Linked DNA regions of Caenorhabditis elegans. The protein of the gene in region 2 interacts with the protein of the main gene of each other region in a pairwise test. Each region holds a gene or a part of one and is shown on either strand. Other genes may lie near its edges.

Evidence for each region.
Region 1: the proteins of prkl-1 (region 2) and toca-1 interact in a two-hybrid assay, tested with the Caenorhabditis elegans proteins (one large-scale study listed by BioGRID).
Region 3: the proteins of prkl-1 (region 2) and wee-1.3 interact in a two-hybrid assay, tested with the Caenorhabditis elegans proteins (one large-scale study listed by BioGRID).
Region 4: the proteins of prkl-1 (region 2) and F35A5.8 interact in a two-hybrid assay, tested with the Caenorhabditis elegans proteins (one large-scale study listed by BioGRID).

The regions. Positions count from the first base shown.
Region 1 is NC_003284.9:1,518,478-1,523,142, forward strand, and holds the start of toca-1 (Transducer of Cdc42-dependent actin assembly protein 1 homolog), read right to left. Parts: upstream 3,011-4,665; 5' UTR 2,918-3,010; coding exon 2,885-2,917; intron 1-2,884. UniProt on the Caenorhabditis elegans protein: Plays a role in protein trafficking, actin organization and embryonic morphogenesis. Potentially acts as a cdc-42 effector. May play a role in hypodermal P-cell nuclear positioning.
Region 2 is NC_003282.8:6,983,934-6,988,928, reverse strand, and holds the start of prkl-1 (LIM zinc-binding domain-containing protein), read left to right. Parts: upstream 1-1,993; coding exon 1,994-2,203; intron 2,204-2,381; coding exon 2,382-2,624; intron 2,625-2,719; exon of another isoform or gene 2,720-3,153; intron 3,154-3,594; exon of another isoform or gene 3,595-3,746; intron 3,747-4,019; exon of another isoform or gene 4,020-4,173; intron 4,174-4,381; exon of another isoform or gene 4,382-4,732; intron 4,733-4,857; exon of another isoform or gene 4,858-4,995.
Region 3 is NC_003280.10:9,713,209-9,718,336, forward strand, and holds wee-1.3 (Membrane-associated tyrosine- and threonine-specific cdc2-inhibitory kinase wee-1.3), read right to left. Parts: upstream 3,260-5,128; 5' UTR 3,255-3,259; coding exon 2,999-3,254; intron 2,928-2,998; coding exon 2,419-2,927; intron 2,371-2,418; coding exon 2,023-2,370; intron 1,974-2,022; coding exon 1,836-1,973; intron 1,790-1,835; coding exon 1,476-1,789; intron 1,411-1,475; coding exon 975-1,410; intron 927-974; coding exon 894-926; 3' UTR 529-893; downstream 1-528. Other genes in the region: Y53C12A.6 (uncharacterized protein), read right to left, coding at 4,270-4,329, 4,391-4,508, 4,557-4,567; Y53C12A.11 (PRE_C2HC domain-containing protein), read right to left, coding at 4,656-4,791, 4,838-4,917, 4,964-5,128. UniProt on the Caenorhabditis elegans protein: Acts as a negative regulator of entry into mitosis (G2 to M transition) by phosphorylation of the CDK1 kinase during oocyte maturation.
Region 4 is NC_003284.9:3,799,513-3,805,417, forward strand, and holds F35A5.8 (SH3 domain-containing GRB2-like protein B1), read right to left. Parts: upstream 3,953-5,905; 5' UTR 3,825-3,952; intron 3,380-3,824; exon of another isoform or gene 3,268-3,379; intron 3,260-3,267; exon of another isoform or gene 3,258-3,259; 5' UTR 3,241-3,257; coding exon 3,178-3,240; intron 3,119-3,177; coding exon 2,977-3,118; intron 2,910-2,976; coding exon 2,775-2,909; intron 2,722-2,774; coding exon 2,588-2,721; intron 2,446-2,587; coding exon 2,353-2,445; intron 2,275-2,352; coding exon 2,236-2,274; intron 2,096-2,235; coding exon 2,006-2,095; intron 1,954-2,005; coding exon 1,853-1,953; intron 1,723-1,852; coding exon of another isoform or gene 1,674-1,722; exon of another isoform or gene 1,220-1,673; intron 1,180-1,219; coding exon 1,083-1,179; intron 984-1,082; coding exon 882-983; intron 813-881; coding exon 708-812; 3' UTR 533-707; downstream 1-532. Other genes in the region: abu-10 (Activated in Blocked Unfolded protein response), read left to right, coding at 1-130; F35A5.2 (uncharacterized protein), read left to right, coding at 5,633-5,686, 5,734-5,818, 5,865-5,905.

The DNA.
Region 1 (4,665 bases), on a different chromosome or scaffold from region 2:
TTGCAGAAAAAAGGTGCGGTGAGTGTCCAAGGCGCGGCGTCCTAGAAACTATCGCCAGGACGGAAGGGCGCAATCCGAATGCAATGTGATCTACATATACAATGAATTGTCGACCCCAACACCGATTGACGACGCGACTAGAAGAAGAAGAAGAAGTTAGAAGGGGGAGGAGGAAGGGAAAATGAGGGGAGATGAAGAAAAATGGTTGTAGAATTGAAATGGATTGACAGTAAGGCTGAAGAAGTAGGGGGGAATGGGGAACGGAAGCAGAATGACATTTTCGTTTTGAAATGTTCTCGGTAACTTTTCGACTATTACAGAAATTTTTCTCAGAAAACTTGAACATGGTGCATCAGGTAAAAAAATCGATATTTTTTGAAGGAGCAGCAATAATTTTGTCTAGAAAAATAAATCCGAACATGGTGCATCGACTGGAAAAGTCCGATAAGTTTGGCGGTAAAACCTGAAAAATATGTGAGAGCCAAAGAAATTTTTTGAACATGGTGCATCGGACAAAATTTGTCATAGGAAATGACGTTCTTTTTGGCATTTTATCATATTTTTTCAAACAGAGAAAAAATTTCACTTTACTAGCACAAATTTTGAATGAATAATATACTGATAACCCTTAATATGTATGTAAAAGTGACAAGTTTCAACCGTAAACTTAAAAATTGCTAGTGTAGTTTTCAGTCGATGCACCATGTTATAAAATTACATCCAAGGTTACAGGGACCCCACAAAAAATTTTCTTTTTAAAAAACCTTCTAATCTTATTGATAATTCCCTGCTAAACACAAATACAATCACAGAAAGTACGATTTTGGTGCCGAAAAAGGGAGAAAAAGAGAGTGAAGCTGTGTTTATTTGCGCTTTCCGCCCTTCCCCAACTACCGCTTTTGCCTATTAAATTGGCGAGAAGTGAACGATAAGGAAAGAGCGGAGAACCGACGATCAGAAAGTTTGTGCAATTTTATTAATAAAACTGTTCGGAACCATTATTATATTAAAACCAGGGCTCCCATGTAGGCGCCGCGATCCGACATTTTTTGGGTTTCGCGCATTGCTATTAAGATTTCGGATCCCGGCGTGAGGGCGGCGTTTGCGGCACCCACATGGGAGCCCTAATTGAAAATTTAAAGAGTAAATCGATAGAAAATCCAATTTTCAGAATTCATTTCTCAAGTTACATGCTCTCAAATTTTGAGCACTAGAAATTGAAGACAGTCTGCACTCTCCCCTCGTCCCACACTCTCTCGGCTTTAAGTTCTATAAGCTTGTATCTCTGCGGTAGATTACTGTTATAAACGACAAAAAACTGGCTGAAGTATTGGGAAAATTTGAAAGAAAAAAAATTTTGCTGTTTTTCTGAATCAAATTCAAGCACAAACTGATATGTTCAAAAAGATGTGTCATACTGGCATTTCTGAAATGTTCACAATTTTTCTGTAAACTGATAAGAAACTTTGGCGAAAAAAAAATCGGATTTTGTAGTTTTTAAGAGAAGTTTTTGAGAGAGAGTAGAAAATTAATTTTTTTGAAATCAATTTTTAAAAATACAACGTCTTAAAAAAGTAGGCATAATCAGTGTGAACGGACCAATTTAATAAAAAAAAATGTTTTTAAAATATATTATAGAAATTTCCACTCCATTTTTGAATTTTAAAATTAGAGCGCATTTACCAAAACATACTAACGTGCGCCCAGCAAACCCACTAGGTAACCCTGTTTTTTAATTCTGCGTCTCTCTCTCTCTCTCTCTCTCTCTCTTTCACTCTCTCTATACACCTCCCGCCACTCCTTATTAGTATCCACCTCTACATTAGCAACAAATGACTAATTCAAGTGTGTTCGGAGGGTGGGTGAGCCGCTTCCGCCGTTACTTTGTGATCGCCCGCCACCCCCCGATCTTGCTTACAACTACTAAATTATGTATGCGGGAGACGAGAAGGTATATGTGATATGCGAAAATGTATGTAGGAACGAGTAGAAATGTTTGGTGGGGGGGAGGGGGGGGATCATTAGATTTTATTAAAAATTTGAGAAAAATCCAAGGATTTTCCACATCGAAACTATAAAATTGCACTAGAAGTTGGCAAACGCCAAATTTCAAATTCATCCGAACTTTAGAAATTTCGGAATTTTACCGAATTTCAAAAAGTATCGGGACCGCCCATCTGTGATCATGCCAGTATCAGTACCCCAATATCGATACAAATGATATTATGGTCCGACATCTAACGGGTTTCGCGCCCCACCCAGGCAATTGCAAATAAAATATAGTGCGGCGCAAAACCCTGCGGACGTCTTGCCATGATATCAATTGAAATCCCTATTTTTGCATATTCCCAGAAAATAATCCTTAAAGTGGTTGGGCCCGGAATTTCGTCAAATTTTGGAGTTTTGAAACTGCGGCGGTCTCGAAAAATTCTAGGTTCTGGAAATTCGTGGCGTGGGTGCTTTAGAGCTGTAACAGAATTTGGAAAAATTTTATATTTCCAATTTTTTCCAAATTAGGCATAATCCTGGTATCTTGGAACTTTGACATATTTTTTAAAAGTTCAGCAATTTGAAGCAGCGCCCAATTTTGAAAATCTGAAGTTTCGTGCCATTTTTCTCATTTTGGTGGAAACCTTCTAACCTTTTCACAGTGTGAAGTGCATAACATTACAATTTTAGGCACATATGTACATACTTTTAATCAGTAGATTTTTTGAAATGTTGAACTAGGAAAAAAGGAGGATTCACGGTTTAGAATCGTAAAAAATTCAGCTCAACATTTGGTGATTTTGGCCATTTTTTTAGACCCGCGGTTTTTTCATTTTAGTAGCCTGTTTTCTTATTTTAAATTTTAGTTTTTACCAAGGATTCAATAAAAACTTACCCATAGCTGGTCCCAACTGCAACTGTCGTTCATTGTTCGCCGCTTCTTCAAAAGGTTGTTACCATCCAATCCAATCTCGATTCCTTCTTTTTATGAACACTAATTGGAACTTTTTCGAGTTGAAGTCTGAAAAAAAACTCAAAACGTTAACAGCAATGAGCAGCACAAAAAAGATCCGAACAAACGAGAAGGAGAAAAAAATTGAAAACTTTAGTTCGTAAATAGGAACAAAAACAGTAATCTAAGCTGTTGACGGTTGGGCGTGTCGTGGAGCAAAAATGGAGAGCAATTTGTGGTTGGTGCTCATGGCACCGGGAGGCGGAAGGAAGCATAGGTATAATTGTGGGGGCTCAGGAGGGGGGGGTAAATTTTTTGTGGAAGAGCAGAGTATTTGGAGTGCTATGGGAGGTTGAAAAAAGGTGGAGAAAATTATTGCAAAATTGAGAAATTAATAGAAAAAATCAAGCTTAATCAAAAAAAAAACATTTCGCTAAAACGTGCTAGATTATTCGAAAAATCGGAAAAAGTTTAATAGCCGAAAATGGCCTAAAACCTCCAATTTTCAAACTTTTCCATATGGTATAGTTCACGGTTACCAGGTACCAGAAATTTTCAGCTACCGAATTTACAAAAATAGCATCAGCAAATAGTGAAAAAATTAAGAAAATCAGCAAACAATTTTTCACTTATTTCCGTTGAAACAGGCTAGACCCCAAAGAAACATTCCAATCCCAAATTTATCCGAGAACAGCAACACAGAAAAAAACAAGATAGGCGGTCACGAGAAGTGGGGTCCGCGGTCAGCTCGAGCACCCAGCTCGAGCTGCAGCAGCTCGGACCTCGAAAAGTAGCTCCCAAGAGAAGAAGAAAAAGAAGAGACGCTATTTCTCGCCCAATAGCATATGTATACACATGTGTGCGTCTGCGTATCTTGCTATCTAGGATAGACCTCGGGGTCCCGGGGTTTTCGGAGATATTGATGAGCGAAAAATGAAGAGTTTACAACAATACGCACGGCGCGAGATACCTAGTCTAATCAATTTTTTTCGAATTACGTTGAGGGAAATCTCGTAATTTTGAGTCTGAAGCTAAGCCTGAAATTAGGCCCGAGCTTGCCTAAAAGCTAAAGGGTAACCTAAAAGCTTAGTCTGTACCGAGGGACTCAGTTTTTGAAGAAGGGCATTAAGCTAAGAGCGCAGCCTAAAGGCTTAGACTTCAGGTGCCCAGCCATTACTTTGGGCTTCTTTGGGGCTTGGCGTTCGTGGGCTCAGAATTATCCTTCAACTACGGGGCTTAACCTTCTTGGTCTCAAACTTTGAAGGATGATAAGCCTGACCTCAAGGATTTTAAAATAAGCCTAACCTCAAGGAGCGGAAAAAATGGAGATGCGGCTTTCAAGGGCTCAACCGCCTAAATGCCTAAATAAAGAAAGTAAAAGTTAGCCTAAATGGCTTAGTTTTTGAAGGCTCAACTTTCTGGGTCTCCACTTTTTGGCCCTGACATATATTTTAGCCTTAACTTCACCATCTGCCTTGGCCCGAAAAAAAAAAAAAAAAACCTAAAGCTGACTAAAATATATATATATATACTGGTTTCAAAGGACTTCCAAAAAAGCCCTACAATCACTCTCAGAAAAAACTACCCAAAAAATGCTATGCTTGTCGTACCCGACGTTTCTCAAGGTAATATGCAAAACAGGCCTCCTTTTGTCCCCCCTCCTGCCTCGCCAATCTTTCCATGGCCAAACGCAAAAGTTCAAGTGACCCGCCAAATCGACGACA
Region 2 (4,995 bases):
CCGTGATGTGAGGTGTCTGTCTCTCGTCTCACTCACACATGCGCATCATAGGGCACCGACGCAAAAAAGTGTCAAAAACGATTTATTGTCTTTTCTCGTTCGGTCCTCACCATTGCGCCCCTGTCCTCAATGCGTCGCTTTTTTGTGCGGTCTTCTTCTTGGAATTATTACCGTTTTAATAGGCGTTGAAATTCTGTTGGAGCAGGCTTGAGAGCGGAAATTAGAGTTCATAATTAGTATCTTAGTATCTTATAAGAGTTCATAATTAAATAGTAATCTAATCATTACATCTAAGACTTGAAAAAGAGCCCTCAACTTTTGATCTACCGCAACTCTATTCACCTCTATTAGATTAAAACCAACTCCAATACCCTCCAGGGACTTCCAATCTCTAACCGATAACATCTTTAGTACCGATGTATCATAACACCTGTCACCCATAGACACACACACATATATAGACCCTTCCTGGCCGAGATGAGGGGTACATAAACACATGCGGTAAGACTGTTAACCCCGCCCTCAAAATACTGCTTCTCGGTCTGCGTCTCACCCTTCTAGTTGATGTGGGAGGATCCTTGTAGCTTTTGGGTTCTGATGGGAGATATTCCATGCGGTTCCGGTCAACGCCCTCCACATTAGTTTCACTTTTGTTTTAAGTTTTCAATTTTCACAATTTCATTCTTACCGCAAAATGAGTCATTTTTTGTACGCTATACACATTCTGGTGTTCTGGTAGTACAGGGTGTTGTTGCGTTCAATATTGAAATCGTGAAGTGATGGCAATTTCAGAACTGCTACAAGAGCTTGAGCAGAAATCATTTTCATCTTTACAGAAATTTTCAAACTAGGCATTCTACGCCTTCCTATATTTTTTCCAACACACATTTATATTTTCTTACAATAATTTTTCTCCGCTCTCACAAAAGCTCGAGTTACTTGAATATTCGAAATAGTTTTTTCATGGCTCGTTTTTCTCATTTTATTTTTCTCAAAAGATTGTGCCAGCAATTTTTTCCTTAACAACAAATAACAGTTGTAATTACTCAAAAACATTACCCTCGCAATTTATGGCCACCTTGAAACAGTAATAAAATTTTGTGAAAACACTAATACTTCCAAAGGACCTAGAAAATAGTTTATAAAAATATCCTCAAGTACCGAGAGTTTGTGAAAACATGACGTGAGACTTTAAAGGTGTCTTCTACTCCTCTTGATGGATCTTGCCACAATCTCTATAATAGAATAATGCTTCAAATATAAATTATGAAGCGTATGTAATTTTCACATTCTAAAATGCACAGGAACTATCATGGTAAATTTTGTTACTTTTATTACTTTTTTGCGAACACACTACCGCAAAGTCGGAATCAACAGTAAAACTTTAGATTCGTTGAGATCTTAAAGTTCTTCCTTTGAGATGTTCCTATTAATCCATTAGTTACCGTCACTTTTCCGTTATTACCAGTATAATGACAGAGACAAAACGGGGCGGCGTGCGCGACGGCAAACAGTCATTCCTCTATTACAAGGCCATATCAAATTAGCATAAACACACGTCTCCCGATTCTTTACTATTTTTCATTCTTCAACGGGACGTCGTCTTCTAGTTGAAGATTTCGGAATCTTTTTCTCTAATTGAATCAACATTACGAAGAAGACGATGTCCTTTTCTGCAGTGAAATGAGAAATGAAACGGTCAGATGTCGTCGTGGGGATTTACGGGGCAATGGAGAGACCGGTCTAGTTTTGTGGATGATGGTGATGGTGTTGCCAAAGTGATTGACATTTTTATATGGCAGCAAAAAGGTTATAGAGAGGGACTGGTCTTCTTTTCACACTTAACACTTAACACACCCTTTTTTGGAGGCTTTTTTGAAGTGATTTTGCATACACTATTTTTCTTTTTTTCCAAGTCAACCTCAACTTTATCGTATAATTTGCCATTCTCTTATGAAAATGTGTTATTTTCAATTCATAGTCCCTATTTCAGATGAGCGAACGAATTCGCCGTCGTCGTCTCGAAGCATCGGAGCAATTCGCACCGCAGCTCATCTCATCACGTCGAGCTCAAGGTGGTCTATCGCCTGCTTCGAGAATCCGAATTGCAGCTGATGCTCACAGGCATTCAACATCTGATGATGACAGTGGATGTGCTTTGGACGAGTATGCATGGGTGCCTAGTGGTCTGAAGCCGAATATGGTAAGTATAGAGATTTTGAATGATCTCGTGTGCAATAAAGAACAATTGAATTAGGTTTTTGAACACCAAAACCTAGACCAATTAAAATGTTCACAACCTGTGGACCGTTCAAAACAGATGGTTTTTTGTGCACTTCAAATACTGATTCAAATTCAAATTCAAATTCAAATTCTTACAGGTTCATGCCTACTTCGCCTGTCTCCCGGAAAACAAGGTACCATTCATTGGATCAGCTGGAGAAAAATGGCGACAACGTCAATCACGTTATCAACTACCACCACAGGATTCTGATGTTAGATATTGTGAAGATTTAAATGCAGAAGAAGCGGATACATTGCGAATGTTTGAAAGAACTCGAAAAACTGAATGCCTGGGAAGTGGTGTTGTTCAATATGCTCCATTTGATACAAAATGTGAAAAGGTTAGTATTTTCCATCAAAATTTGTTTGGTTTTATTGAAAAATCGTCACCCGGCCTTATTATGACATTCGACCCATTTGAGCACAACCGTAAATCTTGCCAAACTGTGGCGTATGAAACCATAAACAACATTTTCTTTTTCGTCTTTCCGCACCATCCCCAAAACTCATAAATCTTTATGCGCGAGCGCTCTCTTTCCGCGCACCATCATCTATGCTTATGCTGGGATGCTCCTCATCATCATCTTCACGGCTTCTTTTTTGTCGGGCGGCTTTTTGCCTTTGCATTCCCAACGTGTAGGCACTGTCTTACACTTGAGAATAAACAATGACGGAAATTTGAGAAAGGTCATGCTCATTAACAACGGCGAGGGCCGTCTGCTCTCGGATAGTCCCACTTACGAGAGTGCGGCAAAAAAGTTCTGAAGAATGAGAAGAAGAGGTTGTTGACCTCGATGGGGGAAGCCAGCTGCTTAGGTGTTAGATTTTTGTACGGCATGAGAATAGTTGCAGCAACTTGAAAGGGACAAATGGAATCATGAAAATTCGTCGAAAAATAAACCTTTTTTTTTTAATTTTCTGATATCGTTTTTGAAGGTATCGTCAGTACCGTAAAAAAAGCTTCTATGTATAGTGTTAAAATGTTCAAATAAATTTTTGATTTTATTTTACATACAGTCAAAAAGTGGGAAAAACTCATTTTTCATTACTATAATTTTGGAAGGCGTTCAAAAATACTTTCTACGAGTTTCCAATTTCGTTTTAATCGTTTGTATTTAAACATTTTAGTTGTACGAACCTGCTATTTAAACATTCTAGTAGTACGAAACTATGCTCAAAATTTATTTTTTTAAATTTTAACATTTTTTGAAACAATACACCCATACTTTAACTGAAACTTTGAAAAAACTGAACATTTTTGAAGTATTTAAATTATGATATGTGGTTTTTTGTGTTATAATAAGTGGATTTCGAATAAATCTCCACTGACGATAATTTCATTCAATGGCAACCGACTGTCTGCAATTATTATTGCAACATCTAAATATTGGAGAGAAATAGAGAAACAGAGATAGAGTCATAGACAATATGCAATTATTGTCAATGTTCATCCATCTTTCTTTTACTACGAAGCTCCGGCTGTTTGTCAGAGGAGAAGCTGAGCAGCAGCAGTCACTGCTAATTACCTATGCATCGTTACATGTTTATTAATAGGAGAGACAACGGGGCTCATTGTTGGGGTTAGCTTGGATTTTCGTTTTAGGAATTTAGAATTTTTGCTTTTGAATTTCCAAGGGTTGCTAGGGGTCTAGCTTAAGTTAGTAAATGTAAATGTTATGTACAGTAATATACTCAATTTCCGCTCCTTCTGCTCGTTCTCTTTAGTTTGTTCATTGAGTTATAATCTGATTAGAGCCGTCTCAGTGTTAATCTAATCCGGTCATGGGTAGATGGTAGGTAGATCAAACAAAGCTTCTTCCGATATGCGCGCGCGGGGCGTTTTGATCTAAACACTACTCATAACAAGATTAACAAGGAAAATGAGAAGGAAAGCAAGAAGTCAATTATAGGGTGAAAGAAACAGTATATTTTTGGAAGGGAAGTGCCGAACAGATGGTCTTCCTGGGTGCCATGTTACCATGTCATCAATCACTTTTCTTAGAGGATCCCTCTCATAGTCAGGGGTTTTCGCGCATTTGATACCCTTCGCCCAGTTGGTTGCCCCTCCAAGTATCTGGTTTGAAGACCTGAATTAGGAGACATGGGAACATCTGCCTTTTGTAGACAATTCAGGCAGTGTCATGTTGTTTTCTGAATTGGATGTGTCAGTTCCAATTGTTACCCGTGTGCGTGTCAAGGGTACTTGTTAGTTGTTGATAGTTTACAAGTAATTATCGCCGAATATTGAGGATTAGCTGAGTACAAGAACTTGGAAAACAAAAGTATTGAAGTTGTGAAATAGGTAGGTACGTCTTCACTACCTTTCTACGTGCCTCCCAGGCGTAGGCAGAAGACAGGCAGTTTTTCCCTAGGATTACCCTGTCACGTTTTTCTGTTTAGAGGTGTCTGTTGCCTAATCCATTTCAAAATTTTAGGTGTCTGGTTGTCAGATTAGACGCGAGGTCTTATCAACTTATGGTTGTACATGTCTGTTGTTAATGCGGAGGTTACTTAACTTATAACAGAAGAGAAAATTCACAATGTGCACACTTTAAACAACTGAGAATTTAAATATTTGATTCTTAAAAATAAATTTAAATTACAACTACCAACAAAGATTCTAAGACGGTCAAGAGGGTAGCAGTAGGGGCATACCATCTTGTATTTACATAACTATAGAAACACATGGAGAAACTGAACCACCGGCTGGAG
Region 3 (5,128 bases), on a different chromosome or scaffold from region 2:
ATGCACAAAAAACGTTGCCCCGAACCAGGATCGAACTGGTGACCTCACGATCTTCAGTCGTGCGCTCTCCCAACTGAGCTATCGAGGCGGTGGTGTCTTTTTTTCAAAATGCATATAGAAGCACTTGTAATTTCTTTTTAAATTCTGAGGGTACGAGATTTTTTAATGACGGTTTTTATAGTCAAATTATTGCTGTTCTGTTGTAAGTAAAAGTTAAAACAATATATAAACTTTTGATAAAGGAAGTAGGTTTTACGATGTTTTCTATAGTTTTTTTTTTTGTTTTTTTGTGTAGTTTAAGAAGTAATTAATATTCCTATCGAAATAAATCAAAATGGCTATCAAAAGCTGTGGGAAATTTTTTTGTACTGTCCTACCTCCAGTACTACAAGAACAGGTTTTCTCTCAAGACCCTCTCGAGTTTATATTACACCAGACATATGTGTAATCGGTTGGTACCTACTTTATTCAATTCGAATAAATTTGGATTCTGTATGAAATGGAGAAATTAAAAAAATATACGTAGTTCAGATAAAATACGTTTTATCTTCAATTTCAGAAAAGAAGGACATAATGACAAGTTGTGTGTCTGTGTGATAATGGTAGTGCGATATGGTCGAGAGGGGGAAAGATTTTACAAAAAGACGTACAAAAATACCAGAAAATAAGCACCCAGAAGAAATAGTAAATAAAATTCGAGTAATGACACATTTGTGAAGAGATGGTCGTCAAGGGGGAAAAGAAATCAATCAATAACTAGTGAGAAGGACTACTGTAAACAGGCATAAAACCTAGGGGAAGTGATGATGGGATGAGAAAAAGTAAGAAAAGTACGAGATGCTAATAAATGCAAAAAATAAATATTCAACAATTTTTCTGATTTTTGTGCATTATTAAACCTCGTCGCCTGATGATCCAAATGACATCTGGAAAAAAAACATTTAATAAAAATCATTTAGCGTAAAACTACTAACCATTCTATTACGAGGCACAGGCTTAGCCCCTCTATTTAATCTTCTACGTGGCGATTCCGATTGCTCCAAAATCGTATGATGATCAACAGTCGGTTTATTCGATGGCTCGTCGAGAACGTTAAAGTTGAGAACAGGCATTCTCGGTAGATCACGAATGCTTCTTCGGATTCTTGGCGGACAAGACATTGGTGGTGGAGCCTCGTCGATCACATTATTCTGATCTGCCCAATCTAACTGTTGCTCGGTGAGTCGCATTCGGAGATATTTTTCCGTTCGTTCTTGATCACTAATTGGAATTAGAGAGTTATTACTAAATCCATCTCCAGATCCAGTGTGATGATTATAATGATTTAGCGACGATTTCGGTGCAACTGACGCGGCTACTTGACGATGACGGTTGAAAGTGAGATTACGACGAGCTGATCTTGGAGTTCCTCTGAAAAATAGCAGTTGGTAATAGAGAATCCAGAAACTTTTTGAATATTTAACAACAAAACCAACCGTTTTCCAAGTTTATCAATAACATCGTTCATTCTCGGCGGACTCTCCGGTTCATCCAATTGGGGCTCAATAGCTGAAGAGTTTGATGATGAGCAAGTCGCCTGTTCCTCATCGTCATCTTGATCGTTATCAAAGTTCAAGCGACACGGCACTGCACCAGTGAACAAACGGCGTTGCGCGTTTGGTGGATTCTCATCATCGGAAAAATCGAAAGGAGACACAATTTGAGATGCTTGGCGAACAGCCACTCCAGTAAGAGATTCCAAATAAACTTTAGAAGTCTCTGGAGTTTGGATGGGAGTGTGCTGCTGATTCTGAAAAATTCGAGTTGATAAAATTTTGGGTAAAAAAACTTATTACATTGACAAATTGCGCACAAATTTCCGATTGCCGGTCTTTAATTGCAGCATGGAAGCGAACAATAGGATGAAAGAGCACCGAGAAGAAAGCCATTACCCAGACAAGAACAGCACTGAAGGCGTAGAAAAAGCCGTTAAGCTGAAACCAGTGATTGTCAAAATCCCTCATTCACAAAACTATAACTTACAATTGAAATGCATTTTACATAGGTTCCACGCTTCATGAGCTTCTTCTTGATTACCGGATGATCAAGCAAATCTCGACTTGTTGGACGAATCCTCGGATCAGAGTCAAGCATCAAGGCAATTAAACTGCGAAGATCTGTAGAAATTCCAGCGAAGAATCTATCAGGAATCTGTCCATTTCTGATTTGATGCCACGAATCTCCATTTGATGGAACGTCAAGATCAGTAGTAGCCTCAAGAATTGTCATTCCTAGACTGAAAATGTCTGATGATTTCGTGGGACGGCCGTTCAAAACTTCTGGAGCAAGATATTTCGAGTCACCTTCTTCCGCTGATTTCACATCATTTGGCTGAAAATCGATTGAATAAAATCAGAATATTAAAAAGTATGAACTTACATTTTTAAGGTTAATAACCAAACCAAAATCTCCGAGTTTGCATATCATGTCCTTTGTAAGAAAAATGTTTTCCGGTTTAATATCATCATGAATCATGTCGTTCGAGTGCAAATGATGAACAGCTTGGAGCAAATCTACGAAAATATTCCAAATTTCGTCCTCCGGTAGTGCATGTTTCTCTGTACAATATTTCAAAAGACTTTGATCGCAAAGTTCTGTTTGAATATACAATCGACCAGTTTCCTCCCAGGCTCTGTAGAACTTGACAAGATTCTTATGCGGTGGAATGATCATATGGCTCTCAGCTTCTCGGTACTTGGAAATTGAATGTTGCCGGATCGGAGCTAACGATACTTTGACAGCATACAATTGGGAATCCTCACGGCATCTGGCTGCGAATACTTCTCCGAACGAGCCTCTTCCAATGATTTCATCGATTTGAAATACTTGTTCAAAGAATGATTGAGCATTTGTATGATCGTACTTTGGCGATTCCAGTGGTTTTGGTCCTGAAAAAATGCTTGAGATGTGTTGGGTTTATCAAAAATAATTAATGTTTAAAATAATCAACTCGACATACCCTGCGGAGTGACCAAAAGTGGGACCGACTCCTTCCGAACAGACCAAATGCTTCTTGTTGGTGGCATAGTTTTTATCATTTTCGGAGCTGGACGACGGAAACGTGGAGTAATTGCTTGGCGCTCACGTTTTGTGGAAAGTGGTGTCTCACGCATCATCATCGGGATTTGTGGTAAGCGTGGAGTGACCTGTGGAAGTGGACTTGATTGACCATTTCGAATGGAATCCATCGAGGAGTTACCCTCTGTGTCGTCCATTTTCACTGAAAATGAATAAATTAATCATACGCAGCGGAAAAAAGAAGGAAGGAAGGTCAAAGAAAATAAATAACATGTTTTATCAAAATTAATATCGACAGAAATTTTTTAAAATAGATTTTTGCGGTGCAGAGAAGATGCTAAATAGAGAGAAATCGATAATAACGTGTTTGGAACGTTTTCAACTAAAAAACCTTTTGATTTCTGAGAGTATATTGGAATTAACATTGAAATTACTATAATAAGATAATATTAGTATGAAGGAATGAATAATCAATTAGGCGGAGGCGACAAAACAGCGAGAAAACAAACAATTCTGCCAACGGCGATTGCAATTCAAAACAAGCGCGCGAAAGAGGAGAAGACACATTGTGCAAACACCGTGGCGCTCAAATGCAGACTAGACAGGGGAAAACAGCGGGATATTCAAAAAATAATTTTAAATATGGTGTTCAACCGGAATGACCAATTTTGCCGAAGAAAGGGTTCAATATTAAACTGTAGTGGGTCTTCTATGAGCGATATGAGACAATTTATCTGCTAGATATGTTTTGTAGTTTGTAGTCTAGCAGACCCAAAGAAAAATAGTGTTTTTTTAAAATTTCAATAATAATAATGTGAATTACATCACGTTAAACAAAATTTCAGTAGCTTGGATCTGTCGGACTATTTACATACTACAAACCGGTTTAGCAGATGAAAACTTTTAAGACTCTCCGATACGGCCTGTCAATTCAAGAGCAATCATCTACCTAAACACCGCAGAAAGTCAGATATACAGCATTGAAAGTAGAACAAAGGGAAATAAAACAGGAAAATTTTATAAAACAGGAAAATTTAAGAGTTAAAATTTATTTTACCAATAGAATTTTCATATTTAATAAAAAAGTGGGTGCAATAAGCAATCAAACCAGCGAATAGATTTTAAAAATTACACATATTTGCAATGGTTGGGGTTTAAAGAAATATTATAATACATGGTTTTAAATTAAAATGGGATATTTGACAAATGAATTTAAAAATTATTTTCTTGAATTTCTGATGTTGAACTAGAAATTGGTGGGCTCTCGCTTGACTGAAATTGGATTATTGCGGATTGTGCTGAATCGTTTTCTCATGGTACAAAAAAATCTGACCTCTTTGAACAACTTTTTGATCGATGAATCGTTCAGTGCGCGGATCAAAGCAGCATGGTCATTGAGGGCATCATTGAGCGTTGGTGTTGGATACGGGATGACTCCTCTGTCGTTCATTCTGAAAAATAGCAATGATTTTATAATTTAGATGAGAAAAATCAATTACTGTGAAGCCATTGCCACTGCTTTGGCCAAATCAAGAGGATCCAGCTTGTACCAGAAGAACTCTTGTTTGCGCTCCTTTATTTTCTTGCAATCGAAAACATCAATCCAGTTCTCGTCGTTGATTTTTTTCCAAAATTTTTGCGGAATCCTTTGGGGAAACGGTGAACGCGACGGCCGATCGACTTTCATTTGCGACGCTTTGAGCGATTGGATCCGAGAAGATAAACTCTTTTATCCTAAAATAAATGTTGTAATTATTTCATTTTTAAACCAAATATTCACCCCAAGAAACGAAGAATTCTCGTCGCTCGCTGCACCACATGTTTGTCCCTGATGTTCAGCATCATGAAGTGACTCGCCATCTGAAATTTAAGTTTGTAATTCCAATTTGGACACTTAAAGAATTGCCAAGTCTGGCCGCTTTGCCGGATTCGCATTATCGGCATTTTCGTGAGTGATTTGGCGTTTCCTTCCTCGATTCACAGCTGGGAAAGTTTGCGCTGATTGCAGATTTTCAGATTGTTGAATATTCCGAGGGAAGGACGCAAGTTCTTGGCGATCCAATTTTGTATC
Region 4 (5,905 bases), on a different chromosome or scaffold from region 2:
TTCGTCAGCTACTACTTCCTGCGATGCTAACCAATGCGTATGCCAACGCGGATACGTCAAGTGCGCCGAGCAGACCTGCTGTCTTAGATACAGATACACCAACCGCAAGGCAAAGCGATCGATCGCCTAAACGAACTCATTTCTGACCATGTCTTTCTTTTTCGACTTCACGCAAACTATTTGTACATTTCGGTAATATTATTGCCATTACATAAAGTAGTTTTATATTATTTCCTTTTACACAATGAGTATATGCAATGAAGATATAAATGAAAAAATGATTAAGAATCATTTCTATGATGTTCAAATTACCAATTTTCGTCTAAATTACAACAAAATCACTGAAAAAGATTTGAGAAAAATGCAATTTTCTTTTAGGAAACTCTATTTGAAGTTTGAAAACCAGAAGATTTTCACAAAGGGTTGGTTCTATCATTATCTAAAACAGCAATCGTAGAAGAGATTTGAGAGTTTTCTTCAAAACTAAACTTTTTATATTGTGTTCAATATTGTTAACGAATTTTTGATCTTTAAATTTCCCATTTATTTTAAATCTAAATAACCTATACAATAATAAGCGCATTTGAGGAGTCAAATAAATAGACACATTTCAATTGAGATCTTCCACAATAAATAAGACACCTTACTAAAACATTTTTGGCACATGAACAAAGTACTAAGACAATAAATTAATGAATGCAGCGTTTCTAGAGCAGCTCAATATAGCTGACAGGCAATTTTCCGCGTTTTCCTCCTTTTTCAGCCATCACATATTCCGCATCCATTCCAGGAAGGCGATACACGATGAGAATCTGCAACAAGAGCAGACGTAATTTCACACAATATTTGGTTTCAATAGGGGTCCTCCTCTCAAGACTCACATCATTCTGGGTGACGCTGATCTCTTGTGGCAGCACTGCATCGTAGTCCATGATCACTTTGGCTTGCTTGGTTCCCAAGTCATCCGGCAGTAGGCCACTTGGCTGGAAAATCAGTAATTTGAAGAGATGTTCGTGATGGGAAATAATTGAAAATCACTGGAACGGAAACAACGCTTTCCACGAAGTTCTTCCCCAACTAACCTTGGCCGCCGCTATTGCCGCCGCCATAGTCCTTCCGTTTGGCGGGTCGCCACTATTGTTCACCAGTATTGCCGAGCTTCCGCGAAATGACATGGTGCTGAAAGCAATTTCCTTAAATCTGGGGACAATGAAAAAAGTTTGGCAGAATAGAGAAACATTTATTTGAGTTCAAATCGCGTTTCGTCGTTGTGTCACACATACTAAGACATTCACACAGCAACTGTGACTAGAAGAAGCCGATCAACGGCGGTTGGGGGGAGAATTGAGAGTAAGAAGAAAAAAATTAAACATACTAATTATGCTTATCGATTGGTGGAAATGACCGGGAGCTGTTAAAATATGAAATACATTACAATATAATACATACAGAATACATTGAAAATTTAAGAATATCGAAAACTTGAGCTAATATTGAATTTCTTGGCGAATTTGAATGACACTGGATTACTCAGAAGGAAGTAATGTTAAGTAAAAAGAAAGAGAAAGAGGAGAGAGAAAAAATAATATATAATCAAAATCGATTAAATTTGAAATAAATAGGGAGTCAAGATCACAATCACGAGTGGCAAACATAAAATCAAAGTTCGGGAGTCACTCGTCGTGTCGGTTTCCGTAGTACATCGGTGAATCGGCGAGAGAACTGAAATATTTGCATGACACGTACATTCACTACAACGAAATAAAAAAAGCAGTGGCTACCAAATGAATTGCTAGCGGGAGACGCATGCGACATGAAAACTAATGAGCCTAATTTTGAAAGAGAGACTTACCCGCTCAATTCCCGCTGCAAATCGGCCATGAGTTGATGAGACTGAGCATAGAAAGACATTTGTGCCTCGACAAAATCACGAAGACACTTCAACTGATTGTTCTGAAAATTTTTATACATTTTAAATTGGAAAAATCCCATTTAAAAAACTAACGTGTGCGGTTTGAATTCCTTCTAGCAACAATTTGGTAATCTCTGATTGCTTGTCAAACTCTGCTTGAGCAACACGCACGTCCGCCTCTGCCTGAAACTTGTGAAACGTTTCAAAAGTTTCAAAATATAATGTTTAGATATGTAACTAAAAGTTTATAAAGTACATAGAAACGGGAGGAATAACCAGACAATAATGAAAACCAACAGTGTTACAACATTTCTGAAACAAACCTGCTCAATTGTAAACCCTCCAGAGGTTTTACTATTCGTCTGAAACAGTTACTTTCTTTTTTAGATTTTTATTTTTAGAAAATTAATTTTTCACAAATTAAGAAAAAAATCACTCACCACTGTCTGAAGATCTACAGTTTTTGCTTTCTTGAGTCGGCTTTTACATGCATCCAAATCGAGACGCTTGCTGTTCAGCACTTTTCTTTCTTTCTGAATTAGATATTTTTATTGAAAGCGGAAATATATTTATGGCGCAGCTGGCCTGAGGGCAAGAATAATTTGAAATGCATTTACTAAATTTTTTTAGCAAGAGCTCATGAATAGTGCAGCTTGGAAAAGAGGAGTCTCTCACCTGAATTGTTTTCATGTCGCCTTCCAAGAATCTTCTAATAGGGAGCAAAGTATTTGTGGCCGCTTGTCCACACAATTCCCGTTCCGCTTGCCCAAGTCGGTTTTCCGTTTGAGCCACTTTGAGGAGTGCAGATCCTGAAATTATTGAGTATTATATGTCTTATGAGGAAACAAATTAAATAACTAACCATATGGAGTGGTCTCTCCGAACTGCTCTCCAGCTTCGGTCATCGCTGTTGACAACTGCTCGAGATTATTTTGCCGAATAGCACCATCCTTTTTCAATTCCAATTTTTCATAGAATACTTCTTCCATGCGAACGGCTGCAATAGATAAGTTCATTTCTCAGGTCTTTTTGCAAAACATAATATCTTTTTCGTGAATACTAACTGGGATTTGGCTGCAAATAACCCTCAATTGCAGAGAGGAGACGGCGAGTATGATCTTCTGTCTTGTCGGCTCGCTGTAGAAGGTTCTCAAAGTGGGAGTCCAGTTCGGTGCGCTCTGCTTTCAGGAATGTTTCTTCGGTGAGCTGGAAATTGAATTTTAAATGTATGGGATTTCGAAGGAATTCGTAAAAAAATGACCAACCTGCTTAGCTCTGCTAAAGAATCCTCCAGCATCACTGGCTATCTTTTTGAAGTTAAAATCCATACTGAGTTTTCAACAATCTGAAGTTTATCAAAATTATTCACAAAAGTGCGAGAAAAAACAAAAGAATGGAAGCTGTTCGAACGGATCTGTGAGGGGTGCCCCGACTACGACGGACGAAATTACTGGAAAACGGGGCTGCTGGTAAAGAAGATGGCGGTGAGGAGGGGAGGGCCCCTAGCGGAAAATCGATGCGAGACTGCGCGAGTCGTGAAGGGAAAGGAAACGAAAAATGACGGAACAAGTGGGAAAGGAGAGAATTTTTGAAAAAGAAGCGAAAATGGGGGGAAAGATGCGTGCAACAAAACGCAAGAGGTCGTTCATCTTTCTCAACATCCGTCCTCCAATTTTTTTGGATTTCGTTTTTTTTTTCTGGTAAAATGATGGCATGTTACACTTTTGAAGAGAAGTTTGTTACGAGCAATCATATTTTTAAAAAAAGTGCACATATTTTTTATTATTGAGTTTGAGTGCTTTGAATAGGAGCTTGATAAAGTATCACATTGATTTTTGGAGTCATGCAGTGGATGTAAACATTTTAACTGTTATTTTTAAGCAACCCAATAGTATTTTTCTGAAAAACTTACAAAAAAAGCTTAAAATATATTTTCTAATAATAATAATAATAAGAAGAAGAATAATGAATGAAAATATAACGACTCTTATGGGAAATCGTATTTTCTAAACACAATAAACAATAACAATGAGCTCGTGGTGAGTAATTGAATAAAGTGAAGACAAAAGAAGCGCACGCACGAGAAACGCGTCAGCAGCCACTGCATTGACACACCCAATGTGTGGGTCTTGTCTCTGAATTGCAATGAGTACACAAAAAGAAAGACATACGGATGAGACACAAGAAAAGTAACACACTTTTCGTTTTCAAAATAGAGAAAAAACAACGAACATTTGTCTAGTTTTGGAGAATAAGAATATCCGATTTGATTGTCTTCTTCTTTTTGAAATACTGCTGAAAAATTAGTGTAAAAATGGTCTTAAAAAAGGTTTTTTTCGGTAGGGCAAAAACATAACAGTATTTTTTTAGTAAAACAAATAGCCCAAAAATATAAGTTTTTTTAAAATAACATTACCCGAAAGATTAATGGTGATTTTATTCGGAAATGGAAATAAGACTAGACGTCTAAATGGATTACTGATATAGAATTTGTTATATATTTTTCAGAGAAAAGTCTAATGGTGATGTGTTAAAAAGTTTTTTGCAAGTGTGAAACGTAATAAATTATACTACATACATTAATACACTTGGTGAGCTGTAATTATGATAACCTTTTTAGAAAGATGTGTATTTAAAATTTTGTTAAACATGATTGCATTACTTTTTTGAAATTTATTAAAGAAAATTAAATCCTCAACGACAACAAAAAACGTTTTATGCATTATTCATTCAAATTGGTAAGAAATAATAAGATGAGCACAGACACAAACTTGAGACTAAAAATAACGTCGCTTTGATTAAAAAATACGACGAGCAAAAAGAGAAAGTGTTGCGTGAATAAAACAAGGAACAACAAACTATTCATTTCAAAACACACCACTGTTCAAAATTAAAATTTGACACTGCAAAACATTCAATTTTGCAATTGGTAGTGTTGTTGGGAGAGCAAATAATAGACATCATGTTCAATGGAAAAAAAAGAGTTTAATTGTAAGCTAATTTTGTTTTGTTTTGATTATTATCTTTGTTCTTGAAGTATAGTAGCAACAAATATCGTAAGATTCCAAGACGTTGCGGGAGGTTGAAGTCGCTTAGAAAGCTTTTTTTCTAAACCTCATAGTTTCATCGTAAAATTTTTTAAAAATGTTAGTCAGATATCCAATCAGTCAACCCCTATTATGAACACCACAAAAAAACACGGTTTTTTTTATAGTGTCCCTTAAATTTTTACATTTCAGGTTAAAATGGACATTTTATAATACCGTATATTCCTGTTTAATTTTGCTTTTGTTATTAACTTTCCAGTCGAAATTTCTAATCCAAAAATAGCATTTTAATTTATTTCTCACACGAATTTACATAACTTGCATTCATTACCAATAAAGAAAAGCGATAACACCCGCTGTGTTTTTAGCTTCTCGGTCGATTACAGTACTTAGAAATCTAAAAAAAACATTAGAAACACTAATTGGGAAACTTTTCCATCAGCAATTCTCCATTTCCGTCCCAAATTGGTAAACACGATTTTTTACAAGCGCCGATGTTTGATCTAATGAGTCAATTTTTGCAGCCAACGAACTCGGTTGCTTCAGATGTTCAAATACGTGTTAACTTGCATGTGCCACGAAATATAAAAACGAAAATGGTTTGAACAGCTTGTGTGGGAAAGTCGTCGAAAACGCGTCGGGATAGCATCATTCAGCCAGTTGTGTCAAAACGATGAACGCCGTCTCGCTTGCTCTCTTCCTTATTCTTGCCGTTTCCATGATACAGGTATTATTGAAATGTGCAACTTTTACAGGAACTTGTCTATGTTTTAGGGTCTGACTCTGGTTATCAAGAAAAACCGCAAGTACAACAATCCACCATTCTGCTTCGCCTACAACAGAGAGTACAATGATAATGGTAAATTTTTATATTAGTTTAAGGTATCTAAATCAATTTTGTTCAGATGTGACTTCCTCCTGCTCCGGTTATCAATTTGATTGCTTT